Tamandua tetradactyla: one gene and its partner. The protein of the gene in region 2 purifies or fractionates together with the protein of the main gene of each other region. This does not show direct contact. Links are inferred from orthologs where the notes say so. Each region holds a gene or a part of one and is shown on either strand. Other genes may lie near its edges.

Region 1 (8,298 bases), on a different chromosome or scaffold from region 2:
ATGAGCTCGTCCAGCAGCTCGTACACGATGACGAAGTTGTCGCGGATGCTCTCCTCCTCCAGCTCTTTGAAGTACTCAGAGAACACCTGGGGGCCGCGGGCAGGACAGACACCCACCGTAGGTGCGGCTAGTGTGGCTGGGGCCACGGGCTGAGTCTCCACTCGTTCAGCCAACCAGCCAGCAAGCATTGATGGAGCACCTACTGTATATATATATATATATATGCCTGTGCTGCGAAATGAATGGTGATCAGACCAGACAGAGTTCCTGGTCTTCTGGAACAGTCTAGGGGGGGAGATGGACAAGTAACCAGAACCAGTATAATCCACCACGTTGGGGGCAGTGATGGGAAAACACAGGCAGCCCTGGGAGCCAAGAGGTGGAAAAGCCGAGAGGATTTCCTTCTGGGGGGGCCATGGAGCCCTGAGTTTCTGGTGATATGTGCATCCATTACAGAATAAAAGTTGTAAAGGCAGAAAAAAAAATACATGGGATGGGAAAGGAAACTCATTATAAGGAACCACATCCAAGTTCAGGGACTCTCTGGATTCTATCCACAGGTCCTTGGGGGGGGGGGGCATCTGAGGACCCCTGCTGGCAAGTAGGTATGACCCCAGCAGAGAACCCCTCACCGTCCAACACTGGAATAACCTTCCCCTCGCTCGTCCGGGCTACCTCAGGGCCTTTGCATTGGCCGTGCCCTCTGCCTAGGACGTTCTTCCCCCAGCTCGCCCCACAGTGGGCTCTTAGTCTACCGTCTGAGCCTCAGCTTGAATGCCACCTCCTCAATGAAGACCCCCGTGAATGTTTAGCACCCCAGCTAGTGTTTAACCCAATGTACTATTTAATTTCCTTAACGTCCTTTAATTCTTCAGGATGTTGTCTGGGTCGCTTAATTAAGTCTGAGAGCAGGTAGGAAGGGACTGTCCCCTTTCATTTGGCCGAGAGGAGGCAACTCAATATTTGCTGTTTGTTAAAGAATATGTACTGAGCGCCTTCTCACGCATCGAGAGTGGCACCCAGTAATTGCCCAATAAGTTACTATTACATGATGATGATAACTTTAGTGAAATGCCAACAGTAACAGTGAACATTTATCGAGCACCTACTGTATACTGAGCACGGTTTCAGGCAACTTCACAGGTATCAGTCAGATTAACCTTGAGGCAGGAATTCTTATTCCCAGTTTAAAGGCCCAGGGAGGAGCCTTGTCTTGCTTAAGGTCACACAGCCAGGAAGGAGGGGAGTTGGGACTGGTGCTCAGACCCTCTGACTCAGGACCAAGCCGGACCCTCTCTGCCAGTGAGCAGCCAATGAAAACACACTGTGATGGGGCTTTGATGGGGGCGGCTCAGGCAGCATTTCACCCAGAGGCCCCTCTACCCCCCACCCAGGGAGGACAAGGAAGGCTTCCTGGAGGAGGTGGCAGGACAGACAGAGCAGCCGGCCAGTAGCACCTACCTCCACCGCCTTGTAGAGAAAGGAGTACACGAGGGAGGCATTTGCATTCTTCAGGGTGGTAGCCACCACTGCAGGCAGCAGCGCTAAGGAAAAGGTGCTGCTGGCGGTGGGACATGCACACTCCACACACCCCTCACACCCCCCCACCCCCACCACCACCCGGATCACAGGCTCCCCATGCATGCGCACGCCTTGCCGAGGCCCGCCCAGGTGCTGTGTGGCCCCCGGCCGCATCCCACCCTCTCTGGGCCAGAGCCGCCATCACCCCCTGCCTCACGGGCCGGCGCCTGGCTGGATACAGTAGAGGTTGCTGTGTTTGATCCACAGGAAGTGTACGCGGCCGTGGCTCAGCAGCGGGGCCAGCACGCCCTCCTCCTCCTGCTGCATGAGCAGCGGCATGAAGTACTCGATTTCGCTCATGGCCACGTCACCTTTGTAGTTGCGGCTGATCAGAGGCTGGGGGCGGGCAGAGAGAGGGCCCGGCCACCAGTCACCACCGGGGTTCTGGAACCTTCCATCTGAGCCCGCTTCCTGGCAGAGGGGCCTGGGCAAGGCTCTGTCTCTCTGTGCCTCGGTTTCCTGCGCGGGTGACGTGAGCACGCCGTGGCAATAGCTAACGGTATGGAGCCCTCCTGGGTGTCAGGCTGGGCCCTAAAGACTTGGGGCCTGTTCAGTTATTTCCTTCTCACCCCTATGCTCTCCTGTTGGGGTCATCCGCCTCCCCATTTCACAGGCGGGGAAGTTGAGGCTCGGCCAGGTCAGGACCCGGAGAAAAGCTAGGAGCCTGCGAATGGAACCCAAGTGGCCCAGCTCCAGAATTCCTGCTCCTGCCTGGGAATTCATATGCACCAAACTGGTGAGGTGGGAAGAAGGGAAGGAGGAGTGGGCAGGAGGGAGGGAGAGGAGGAGGGAGGGAGGGAAGGGAAAAAAGAAATAAAAGATTTCACAGGTATAGGGTCCACCTGGGCCGGGCAGGAGGAAGCAGCCATCCTGCTAGTTACTTTCTAAGGCCGGGAGCTGCGTGTTTGGAGCAGGGAGCCCTCCCAGCAGGTCCTCACACACCTGACCTGTCCTGGTTACTCTCAGTGTCCTTCCTTCCACCAGCAGCATCATGACTGCTGCTACTGCATTAAGTGACTAGAGGGGTGAGGGGCTGGGGGGTGGGCAGGGCAGCCCCCAGGGGGAATAGGGCCTCCCAGCCAGGCTGCCTTCCCGGATTTCAGCGCCTGATGTTTGCAGCCGGGCTGCGCGCATGACACTTCCACTTTTATTCTTCTCGCTAGATGGGGACTTCTGTTACTCCCGTTTTTGTGAATGCGGAAACTGAGGCTCAGAGAGGCAAGCTCCTTGCCCCAGGGGCGCCACCGGTAAATGCTGGAGATGGGATTCGACTCCCCGAGTTGGGGTGGGGGAGGGAAGGCCCTGGCGCCCCAGTCGCTTTCTGGGGCCTCCCGGGCCTGCGCGGCGAGGCGGCGCCCCTGGGGTCCAGTTACGCGGCCTCACCTGTTCGCCTCCCCCTACTCCGCTCCATCAGCCTCACCTTGCCCTTGACATCGAGGATGAAGACAGCCGAGGCGGACATGGTGGCGGGCGGCTGACCCGGGAGGCGGGGAGGGAGCGCCGGGAGGGGACGGCGCCGCTGCTTCCTTCTTCCTGCGGAAGCACCCGCGCCCAGGTGAGCGCCCAGGTGAGCGCGTCTTAAAGGGGAGGCCGCCAGGTGCTCCGCGCTGTCGGCGGAGGGAAAGACTGCAGCTGAGAGCCAGGCGGGGGCGGAGCTTCGGACAGCTGTCCCAGCTCGCTTTCCATTTGCACCCAGAAGGGCTTATGAGTGAAGACGTCAGACCATCCCTCCAACCAACCATCCCTCCATCCAACCATCCAATCATCCATCCATCCATCCATCCATCCATCCATCCGCCCAACAATCGAACTATCCATCCATCCATCCATCCAACCATTCAACCATTCACCCATCCCTCCATCCAACCATCCAACCATCCATCCATCCATCCATCCATCCATCCAGCCAACCATTCATCCATTCCTCCATTGCTCCAACCGTCCATCCATCCATCTCTTCTTCCTTCTATCCCTCCATCCAACCATCCATCCAACCATCCATCCATCCATCCATCCATCCATCCAACCATCCATCCATCCATCCATCCATCCATCCATCCAACCATCCATCCATCCATCCAACCATCCATCCATCTAATTTCTCTCTTGTTCTCACCCACAAGCACATCAGCCCCAGCTGGGCAGAGACTATGTCCTGTGCTTGGCCATGTCCCCAGTGCCCAGCACAGATTGGGCACACAGTAGGTGCTCAATAATACTTACCAAATTCATTCTTTCATACAATAAATATTTACTCATTAATTTACTTCTTCACTCCAAGATTTAGTCACTAGTAAATTATTTCTCTAATGACAGGAATTGTGGGTTAGACTCTTCCTGTCATTAGAGAAATGCTTTCATTATTATTCCTAATTTTACACTTATTCATTCACTGAAAAAATATTAAGCTCCTATTATGTTTTAGCAATGCTAAAATGTTGATAGGATGTTGAAAAGAGAGCTGATCATGATTATGATGCTGGTGATGAGGATGACTCTATGATTACATATTATTATTCATTCAACAAATATTCATTGAGTGCCTACTGTGTACTGCACTGACCCTTTGGAAACTGCTTTCACCATGATGAACCGAGTGCCTCTGTTCCCAGTTGGTGACCAAATGGACAAGGTACTGCTCTCACTCTTGATAGGGCAAGAGACACACGATGTATAAACCAAAAAACAAGGTGATGCCCAAGGGTAAAGAGCTCTGGGGCAACTCAACCAGGCTGGGAAGGGGTATAGAGAGTGAGTGGGGGACTGGGAGATCAGAGAAGGAGATGGTATTTTGCAGAGGCCTAAGGGGCCCAGTAAACGATGACACAGTAAGGCGGCATTATTGCCAGAAACTCTTTGCCCAACCCTTTGCAGGTCTGGGGTTTTACTGGCTCCACATGCCTGAGTTTTGAGCTGCAGAGGGTAGTGGGGTGAGGGGCGCATGATGAGGGGGGCCTCTGCAGCACCTGTCAGGAAGCAGTTACTGGTATTGCTTTCGTTGCTATTGTTTATATGTGAACCTGCCAGGCGTGGAGTCCGCTGGCACCGCCCGCCTGGGCACCTGGGCTTCTCTGCCCAGGTCTCAGTCGGTGCATCTGTGAAAAGGGTTAATAACTGTCCTTCCCTCATTGGATTGCTGGGTGGGTCACATGAGTTATTATCTGCAACATGGCATGTGGAACAGTGCCTGGGACGTAGCTGGAACTCATTCATGTTGGCTAATATTACCATTATCGTTATGACTACATGGTGGTTAAAAAGCACAGGTGCTGGCATTCAGCCGTGTAAAGGAGTGATGCTCTGATACTGTATGATAACACAGATGAGCTTGGAAGGCAGCATGCTGAGTGAGAGAACCAGATGCCAAAGGAGAAACAATTATAGGAACTAATTGGGACATGCAAATTCAAGAGGAAGAAATGAAAATGCAGGTTATCAGGGCCTGGGGTGGAGCTGGGAAATGGGGAGTTAATGTTTCATATGTACAGAGTTTCCGTTTGAGGAGATGGAAAAGTCTTGCAATGACTCGGCATGTGAACTCACTGCCCTCCCCTCTACGTGGGACAGGGCTCCGGTGGTGCACATCTCCCTGGCAACGTGAGACAGGACTCCCGGGGGGTGAGCCTGGCTCTGGCATCACGGGATTGAGAAAACCTTCTTGACCAAAAAGGGGAAGCGAAATGAGACAAAATGAAATTTCAGTGGCTGAGAGATTTCAAGCAGAGTCGAGAGGTTATCCCAGAGGTTATTCTAATTTTTAAAAATATTTTTATTGAGAAATATCCGCACAGTAGAGTCCAACCATATTGTACAATCAATGGCTCACAATATCATCACATGGTTGTGTATTCATCAACATGATCATTTTTAGAACATTTGCATCTCCAGAATAAGAAGTGAAAAAAAAAAATCTCATACATCCCATGCCGTTTACCTCACCCTCTCATTGACCCACAGCATTTCGATCTACCCAATTTTTACTCTTTATCAACTCTCCCATTATTTATTTATTTATTAGCCTTATTTTTTACTCCTCTGTCCATACCCTGGGTAAAAGGAGAATCAGACCCAAGCTTTTCACAATCACACAGTCACATTGTAAAAGCTGCACAATCATCTTTAAGTTACACAATCATCTTTAAGAATCAAGGCTCCTGGCACTGGTCTGATTGTTGTGAGGACATTTTGTGGACTTAAAGCATCAGTTAAGTTGACTGCATCTACGGCTGATTCCATCTACAATCAACTGAGGATATTTTGCCTTCAACAATGAGAGAAGGCTCATCCAGTCAGTTGAGGACTTTAAAAGAAGTTATGGTTTCAGCAGTCAGAAGAGAGAATTTCCATCTCTGCTTTAGCTAGTCAGCTTCTCCCGGGGATGTTATCAAAAACCTTCATGGGAATTCCCAGTTTGCAGCCTGTCCTGTGGAATTTGGACTCGTGCATCCCCACAGTCACATGAGACAGTTTTGATAAAAATCTCATAATATTTACAGATGTGTCCTGTTGGTCTGTTTCCCTGGAGAATACAGACTAAAACGCTAAGTATTTCAAGTTTATTGCTATTGTCATTGGATTTAAATTTTTTTAAATTTCTGATTATTTATTCCTAGTATATAGAAATATAGCTGATTTTTGTATATTTTTCTTGTATCCTGAAGCCTTTCTAAGCTTACTTGTTTCTTCTAGTAGCTTCTAAAAATAGATTCTTTGGATTGTCTGTATAAATGAGCACGTGGTCTGCAAACAAACACAGTTTTAGTCTTTTCTTTCTGACTGTGTGCCTTTTATTTCATTTGCTAGCCTCATCGTACCGGTTAAAATCTCCAGTATGATGTTGAATAAGAGTAGTGAGTGTAAGTATCCCAGTCTTCTTGATTTTAGAGTTTTCAGTGCTTTACCATTAAGTATGATAACTATAGCTTTATAAGGTGAAATAAGGTTACTTCTGTTCCTGACTTGCTGAAAATTTTATCATGAATTTATATTGAATTTTGTCATATGCTTTTTTGCATATATTGGGTTTTTCATTTTTAGTCCGTTGATGGCATTGATATATTGATTGATTTTCAGATAAGTTTTGAATTTTGAACCAACCTTTATTTCTGGCATAAACTCCTTTTGGTCATGATGTATCATCCTCTTATGTATTTATAGATTAAATTTGATAACATTTTGTTAATGATTGTCTTCTTTTCTGATAATAGCTTTCTCTGGTTTTGCTATCAGCATAATCATGGCCTCATAAAATGAAATAAGAAATGTTTCCTCTTCTATTTTCTGAAAGAATTTGTATGGAATTAGTATTATTTCTTCCTTAAATGTTTGGTACAGTTTACCAGTTCTTTGTGAGAAAGTTTGTCGTAATTAATTCAAACTTTAATGAATAACAGACAATTTATTCTTCTTAAAAAAGAGAATCAAGGCTAAATATACCATAAACTAAGAAGGGATATTTGTATAATGCATAAGAATAACCTCCAGGACAACCTCTCGACTCTGTTTGAAATCTCTCAGCCACTGGGACTTTATTTTGTCTCATTTCTCTCTTCACCCTTTTGGTCCAGAAGCCCTTATCAATCCCAAGATGCCAGGTCCCAGCTTCATCCTGGGAGTCCTCTCCCACGTTGCCAGGGATATTTACACCCCTGGGAGTCATGTCCCACATAGCAGGGAGGGCAGTGACTTTACCTGTGGAGTTGGCTTACAGAGAGAGGCCACATCTGAGCAACAAAAGAGGTTCTCTGGGGGGTGACTGTGAGGCATAATTATAAGTAGGTTTAGCCTCTTCTTTGCAGGAGTAAGTTTCTTAGGGGCAAGCCCTAAGGTTGAGGGTGGAACCTATGGAATTGGTTATCCCCACTGCTTGTGAGAGTAGCAGTAATTCCCCAGATGGGTAAGTTAATATTTCCTCCTTTCTCCCAAGTTCCCCCAAGGGAACTTTGCAAATGCTCTTCTAATCTCTGCCCAAATTACTCTGGGGCTATCACACTAACTGTACAAACCAACAAGCTCTCATGCGCTATTCAAGATTCCATATAATTATGGTGTTTAAGGAAACTGACAATACAAGTTAAATTGGATAATGTGTTACCTAAAATATAATTTTTTTTTTTTACCAGATAAACATCTCTCCCTTTAGTCTTGCACAGAGGTTGAAGTTTGAAAATACGGGCCATATTATTCTTTACCACGTATTCCAATTTACTTTAGTCCCATCTAGATCAGCTTCATTCACATCTCTAGATGAAGTCTGATCACTTTTTCAGCCTTTTAACAGTTGCTGAATGGGGTAGAGCTGACTTTCACTGCTTCAGAGTTCTAACTCTGAGTCTCAGGTGTCACCTAAATACCCAAAGTTTCAGGGAATGACCAGGTTATACACAAATAGCTCAGTATCCCAGAATTTAGAAATATCAGGTGCAACCTCTAAATATATGTGACTGCTATAAGAGCTTACGGTCTTGGACCCTTTACAGTAGGTCCCAGCCTGATAACCCACGCTCTCAACTTCAGTTCTCTGAGTTTGTCTATTATAGATAATCCATATGAGTGAGGCATCACGATTGTCTGGAAATTATTCTTATGCATTATGTAGATATCCCTTTTTAGTTTATGGTGCATTGGAGTGGCTGGAGAGAAGTCCCTGAAACTGTAGAGCTGTGTTCCAGTAGCCTTCATTCTTTTTTCTTTTCTTTTAATTTAATTTTTTGAAAT
Region 2 (7,627 bases):
ACCGAGTAAAAGCAACTAAGAAATGAAAAAAAAAAATCATGAACTCAATTCATAAAGCAAAGAAAGGTTAAATTATAAACAACTAAAACAGCCAAACAAGCTGTTGCAGTTTGATGAAAGATAATCATTTTAGATTTTTGGAAGCTAAATGCAACTAAGTCTTAGAGCTTTGATATCAATTAAATTCTGCTGTACACAGAAATTTTTAAATCCTCATAAAATGTAAATAAGGGGATTAAGCATTGCAAAAATCTGTTTTGGTATGTGGTTTCCCAATTCAACTTTTTAAATTAAAAATAAGCTTAGTTGTTTTGGAAAACACTGGTTCGACTTTTTAATTCTGTGCAAGTTAAAGAGTTTATAAAACACAAGAAACTTTTTTTGGCACACCAATGAGTTAAGACTTCTTTTTAAAGTAAAGTAAATACTGGGATGAAATAACACCAAACCATCAAGGATGGATCAGAGGCAGAATTCTCACCTGCCATGCCAGAGACCCAGGTTTGATTCCCAGACCCTGCTCATGTGAAAAAAAAAAAAAAAGAAAGAAAATCACCAAACCATTGCTGGCAAATTTCTGTACTTGACCGCTTTACTCAAAGTTCACTCCCAAACCTAGAACTACTTGTCAGTGAAATACCAAAGAACAGGCAACCACTTTCAAAAGAAAAATGAACTGAGGTCTCCTAAACACTAATGTTAGTTTCAAATACAATCCCAGCAACCTGACAAAAGTAGACATTCAAGCATATTCTGATCAGTGAGGCACTAAACAGCACTTTGCTTATAATTTGGAAAGCAAAAGGACACTTTTTCGAACTGAATGCAAACCTAAAAATGAATGACATTTAAATATCAGATTATACCATGAAATGAAATGAATGAAATAACATCTATCTGATAGCTCTTCCAATACTTTGTTTTAAAAGTGTAACTCAGAAATAGAACATTTCAGTGGTATCTACAAGGAGATACTTTGTGAATGAATGAGCATTTCCTAAGTGTTAAGTGCTGTCAGCTCCTTTAAAACAGAAAAAAAAAAAAAGGCATAGCTTCCAAGTAAATACAGACTCACAAAACTCACTAATATCTAATGTAACTATTATAATTTTTTAAATTCTCCTTAAAACAAGTTGACAAGGATGGGTCACGGTGGCTCAGCAGGCAGAGTTCTCGCCTGCCATGCCAGAGACCCGGGTTTGATTCTTGGTGCCTGCCCATGTTAAAAAAAAAAAAGTTGACAAAAACATTGAGCATTTACCCTAAAAACAATGCCTTGTACTGTACCGAAGCATCAGATGACTTGTACAGGAATTTATTTTCAGTCTCATTTCAATCACTTGGTAAGAAAAATGCATTTATATATGGATGAGAAGTATTAAAAATTTTTGACTCAGTTCAAGTAAGAAATTTAGATTTCAGTAGTCACTAGACTGCTGTGCTCTCGAATAAATTATTTCTCTTTTGCAAATCTAAAAACCCAGGCTCAGATGTGAATTGCCCGTGATGCACTCACACTCACCTAATCGGTGAATTACTGTGAAATGTTTTTTATCCAAACATGCTATATACAAGCATACTTTAGGAGTGGTATAAAAGGAATGAGATTATGATACCTAGAGGTCCATATTTTTTCAAACCAAAAGTCAAGATGCATATAGTCTGACAAGTATTATGGAGAAGTGAATATTTTAAATCCAACTACCCCCAGAAAACCCAATACACGAAGTCGACACAGTATTTTTAAACTGACTAAATTCTCTTATGTAAAGGGGAGGGGAAGAAATCACTGAACCACTTCAGGCAGCCAGCAAAGGTCATTACCATACAAAACACCTGAAAGTTTACAACACTAAAAAAATCTTTGCTCTCTTCTGTTAAATATCCCTTTATCATACAAAAATGAAATGAAATAAAATAACTCTGCTTTCTACCTAAATCAGATTAATATTCTTCATAAGATTTCCATGCCATGGACATATAACACCAAGAAAAATATACAAGTGTCATTAAAAACCCAAAACCTAAGTGCTAAGCACTGCAAGGTAATTCACAAAATGAGACAACATTTGACAGCCTTCTCGCACCCACCCCCAAAAAAGCATTTAATCTGCTTTATAAACATTTACTATTGAAATACATACTGGGCGGGTGGTTTGACGGATCTCCTACACACCAAACCCTAATAGGGAAATGTAATCAACCCTCCTAACTCTTTCAGGCAGTCAAGGCGGTGAGATCGGGAAAATTATCAGAAACTGACGTCAGTAGGATAAAGTGTTTGAGAGAAGGGTAACCGGTATATTCGCAGGTGAGTTAAGAAAACAACAACCAAAAAAAAAAAAAAAAACAAAAACGGGCAATTGGGAAAGAAGTTGGCTGGAAGGTTAGAGGGAGGAGAGGTAGATGTCCGGTTCTGTGAGAACGGCATTGCAGAGGCAGACAGCGTTTGACTGAGCATTTGGAAATGCTAACGAGTTTCTGTGAGAGACAAGATCGGGGTACAAGATACAAGTACGTCGATACGTGGCTCAGAGAAGACACGCGGAGGTGGGCCCGCCCCGCTAACCCTAGGCTCCCTGAATGAGCCCTCAAAGGAAGATCGCAGCCTGAGAAAGTCAATGGGTTCAAGGAGGCCCGCACCCGCCCAGCAACGCCACAGCACGGAAAGCCGCCGCGCGCTGAGCCTCCAGGTCCAAGACCTCAGGGGCGGCCCTCAAGAAGTCGGAGCAACCCCTGGGGCGCCGGGCCCCTCCTGGTTCAGCTTCTGTCCTGTCTTCTCACCCCTACTGCCTGAGACCGGACCTCTAGTGTTGACAGGATGTCTCCGGCCGAGCACTTGCGGCAGCCGCTGGGCAAAAGCAGCAGTATACTCTCGGCGCCGCAAGTGACACTCACCGGCCCGAAACCTCGAATGAAACCAGCAGCTTCGGGGGCGGCGGCAGCAGTAGCAGCAGGAACCGAACATCCAAAATGGCGGCTCCCTCGGCCTCACCACCGCTACTGCAGGCGGAGGGATCCTAACGAGGGAGGGAGTTTTTAACTAACTTTACGCACTGTGGCAGAAACTCCGCGTCCCCGTCCTCTCTCTTTGTCGATTCTGCGTCCCCACTGCAACTTCTCGCGCTTCCCCTCTCCTATTATTCAAGAGCCCGGACCCCGCCGAGGACTATTTGCCACGGAGGAGGCGACTGCCCCTGGCCAAGCGACGCAAAGCGTAGCAAGGTTCAGGGCTGTCACTGATGACGCGAGACGTTGCTGCCGAGTCACCTCTGCGGTGAGTCTGAGTGAGAAAGATCCGACAAACCCCGGCGCCGATGGACTTTGGTTCCGCAAGGCGGGTGAGAGACCTGGGCTATCAGGAAGAGGCGGGGGTCACCTGAAGGGGCGGGACTAGCAAGGTAGAGGAGGAAGTGGGAGAGGCCAGGCAGCTGGGGGCAGAGTACGCTGATCCGCTTAAACCGCAGAATCCTCTTTCCGAGTACCTGTGAGACCTTAGCCTTCTCTTAGTTCAACTTCAGAAACATGCTCCAACTGATCCTGAATTCTGCGGTTTATAGTATCTTTGTAACATATTGCATGAAAGGGAGGATGACTCAGAAGAATGGGTTCCAAGCAGTACCTCCTGCGCTGGACAATTTATTTAAACTCGGAACCTCCGATTCCTCACATATAAAAAAAGAGAGGGCTTGAACTACCGTAAACTTCCAGTGTGGACTTTCTGTTTGTGACTTCATAAACGATTGAGTTGAGCCAAAGAAAGTTTGACCAGCCAGTTCCTAGCCTGATAAATAATTACTAACCCTTTACAAGATTATTTTCCATGTGAACGTTAAGAGCACGATGATATCTTGGTCCATTTAAAGGAAAGATTAACTACCCAGACTAAAACCTTCAGGAAAATTAGTGATAAAATACCGCTAAAAGGAAATAAAGCACAGCACCAAACTAGATGCCTAAATGAACAGATTTAAACACAAATCTTAAGTTTAAAACCTGAATGATACAGCTAAGACCTTTCTCTTTTTTTGCCTTAGGCAGTTATTTCCATGTAAGAATTTCAAAACTAAAAAAAAAAAAAATGAGCTGGGTAGTCCCACTGTGCAGCTCTGTCCTCAAGCTACTGGAGCATGCTAAGTGACCGGACAGAAAGGAAGCTAAGAGCATAATACTAGTAATTTTTATTATTATTAAGTATGGCTATCACCCTTTACAAAGCACCTCTGTATATATCATCTAATCCTCCCAACAACCTCCTGAGTTAGACTGGGCAAACTTGAATAACTCAGTTTTACAAATAAAGAGACTGAGGTTCAGGGAAACTTGGAATTGCGGAAGGAACTTCCGGCCTCAACCTTCTCCTTTCTGCCCTCTGCCACTGGAGTTCTGCTATCCTCTGGTGCCATTGTGCAAATTAGGAACTGGTAATACCCCAACATCCCCAAACACACACACATGCAAACACACACACACTGGGTGAACTGAGACCATAGCAAATGGTTTGGGGATTGGAATGCTTATGGAATTTAGCCCCATCCTATCCTCTCCCTTGCACTACTCTACACAGCAGCCTTGGATTGCATAAACTAGTACATAGTAGTGTGAAACTACAACACTGTAATGATGACGTATCTCTTGATTCTTCTGAGGGATAACTGTGGCCCAAACAGGTACCAAGGTACACTTTGGAGTTTCCATAAAAGTAACAATTTTGCAGGTTGCAAAGCAGAGGTAGCTAAAGAGTTAGCTTTCAGTTTGTGGAAAGTCACAAATGTTTACTTAGAGTTGGGAATTTAAATGTTTACTAATATTTTGTAGTAAGTGTTTGCTAACCACAAAAGAAAAGTTAAGAACACCTTCTTAAAGGAGAAAAGTATCTTTTTCTGCTTATTGGCAGAATACTAAAGAGAAAATTATAAAATGTAAAACCTACATGTAGTTTTTACTTATATTTATTTTTATTTATAATTACCAAACACCTCTCCCATGCAACTAAAAATTTAAAACAATTGACCCGGTATAAAGTGTGGTAATCGTTAGCCTGTGATTTTTAGTTTCCCTGGGCAATGATTAAAGCCTGGAAATGCTTACTCCTCAGCTTCTCCAACATAATCCCTAATCCAAAATAAATAAATTACAGTACACTAAAATCCATACAATGGAATACTATGTACAATAAAATCCATCAATAGACTACTAGGTTGCCAATGAAAATAAAGCTATAGTATCTTTATTATCATGATATGCCAGATTTTTAAAAACAATATTTCAAAACAGTATGATAGGGGTTGCACTACTGTGTGAACTGGAGATGGGGGTGGCCCGGGCATGAAGTGGAAAGAATTGAAAAGAATTCAGCTCAACAAACAGATTTGATCTCAAATGCAACATGGTGGGAGTTCAAAGATCCTAGAGGGGCTAACAGAGTAGACCAGATGATGAACCTGGAGAAGATGGGACACAAAGGATTCCTGCTGGAATTTTGGCTCTTTCCTCCTCTCCAGATGGTACCTTCAGGTGCATCCTTATTGGAAGCAGCTGTGACCAGCAAGGGCTTAGTGGTATGGGATACATTGTTAGTAGGTCAATCAATAAATCTGGAAAATGGCCAGTTCCACCATGATGACTGAGTTTCTTTCTCCTCATGGGTTTTGCTGTAGGGTGGAAGCTAAGGTTTCAACATTCCATTGTTATTCCTACTAATATGTACTTGGCTTCCTTGGTAAGGAGTCTTCTCATCATTAGTGCCACCACACTCGACCAGAATCTTCAAACACCCATGTACTTTTTCCTCAGGAGTCTGTCCATCTTAGATATGTGCTTCATTTCTGTAATTGTCCCCAGTGCCTGTGTCAACTCTCTCACTGACAACAGGGTCATTTTAGTGGCTGGGGGTACAACTCAGATCTTCCTAGTCCTTTACTGTGCCTGCGTGGAAATATTATTATTCACCATCATGGCCCAGGATTACCCTGTGACTGCTTTTCTCTGTGGTCTGGTCTATGCAGATGTGCACAGTGGTAACACTTTCCAGTTGTCCTTCTGTCAGTCCATTGTTATGCACCAATTTCTCTGTGACATCCCTTCTCTACTGAGGCTTTCTTGCCCTGACACCTTCAACAATGAATTCTTAATTGTGTCTGCCATGAGGTTTGGTGTTGGCTGCTTTATCTTCATTGTCATATCTTATACTCACCTATTTTCTACTGTGCTCAAGTTTCCAACCAATGGAGAGTGAGGAAAGACCTTTTCCACCTGTGTCCCTCACATCATTGTTGTATTTGTCTTCTTTAGCTCAACCTTATATGTGTATTTAATGCCATCTTCAGTGTCAGACATGTTTCTGGATATGATTTTCTCTGTTTTCGATTCCATAATTCCTCCATTTTTAAATCCCATTTTCAACAGTCTTAGAAACAAACAGACCAAGGGAGCACTGAAAAAAAATAATGCAAACTTTTCTGCAGGAAAAATATTAGATGAATTTCAAGTTTTTCTAAATGCTTTCATATCAAGTTGATATATACACACACACACATTTTGATATTCATTTAGCTACAAATGCTATTACTGGATTGATAAAAATTACTGCTGTACTTTTACGTGCTTATTTGCCTTTTGATCACATTAGTTGATTTAGAATGATATGTAGGAAAGGGATAGAAGTGTATATATAATATAAAACCAGGAATTCTTAGGATTTTCATTGAGACTGCCTCTTCAAAACTTCCCTCATTGTGAGTCTAGGGACTCACACATATCTATAGTGATTATTTCTGCCTAAACATTGCTCTTTCGCTTAAAATCTTCAAAATCAGTGAGGACATATCAAATTCGTACTTTATAATGAGTTGATAAAGTCAAGGGTATTGTATCACATGTTAAATACTAATAAATGGATACTAAATTTGTCACTATAGATTATTATATATAATCAACATTTATCAATATTAAAAATTATATTCAAGAAAATATTGATAAATAATAAAGAGATCATTTGCTAGTTATGTTATTGATCCCAATGCAGATAAAATTTAAATAATTATTTAATCAATAAATTCATTTTAACTTCTTACAAATTGAGATCCTTATATGTGGAGTAAAACTATAGAATGAAATAAGTGATAATACAATCTTTCTACAATTTGAGAAATTAAAAGTTGGTTTCTAAGTTAAAAATTGCATAAATTGTGTTTTCGATTTCTTTCATAAACTGCAGAAAACATCACTTGATTCCAGAATCAGGAAGCATGTGCCCTCTTGAGATTTACCCATATTATTGCATAGATCAATAGCTGAACATATTTTCATTATATGGATGTACTAAGGTTTGTTTGTACCTTCATCTGCTGATAAACACAGAGCTCTTTCTGGTTTTGGCTTAATATTTAAATTGTTATAAATATTCAAATGCAGGCTTTGTCTGAACATATGCTTTTATTTTTCTTGATAAAATACCTAAGTGTGGGACTGCTGGAGCACAACGTGAACGTATATTGAACTTTATAGGACGTTGTCAAATTGTTTTCCAAACTGACAGTACAATTGTGTATCTTCAGGAATAAATCGGGCCTCCAATTGTCTGTCACTGGTCAATGCTTTCTATCATTGATTTTTTAAAAATATA

The links. Proteins that work in one complex are often made in the same cells at the same time.
Region 1: the proteins of AP1G1 (region 2) and AP1M2 purify together in Homo sapiens (affinity purification with mass spectrometry; 4 studies listed by BioGRID and IntAct, counting the BioPlex papers as one, with this or other methods). This does not show direct contact. The link is inferred for Tamandua tetradactyla from reciprocal best matches to the Homo sapiens genes AP1G1 and AP1M2.

Annotation. Positions count from the first base shown.
Region 1 is NC_135337.1:91,262,958-91,271,255, reverse strand, and holds the start of AP1M2 (AP-1 complex subunit mu-2), read right to left. Parts: upstream 3,131-8,298; 5' UTR 3,044-3,130; coding exon 3,002-3,043; exon of another isoform or gene 2,965-3,001; intron 2,829-2,964; exon of another isoform or gene 2,745-2,828; intron 2,318-2,744; exon of another isoform or gene 2,195-2,317; intron 2,081-2,194; exon of another isoform or gene 1,918-2,080; coding exon 1,761-1,917; intron 1,530-1,760; coding exon 1,462-1,529; intron 87-1,461; coding exon 1-86. UniProt on the Homo sapiens protein: Subunit of clathrin-associated adaptor protein complex 1 that plays a role in protein sorting in the trans-Golgi network (TGN) and endosomes.
Region 2 is NC_135342.1:66,901,576-66,909,202, reverse strand, and holds the start of AP1G1 (AP-1 complex subunit gamma-1), read right to left. Parts: upstream 3,295-7,627; 5' UTR 3,058-3,294; intron 3,052-3,057; exon of another isoform or gene 2,899-3,051; intron 2,885-2,898; exon of another isoform or gene 2,785-2,884; intron 1-2,784. UniProt on the Homo sapiens protein: Subunit of clathrin-associated adaptor protein complex 1 that plays a role in protein sorting in the late-Golgi/trans-Golgi network (TGN) and/or endosomes.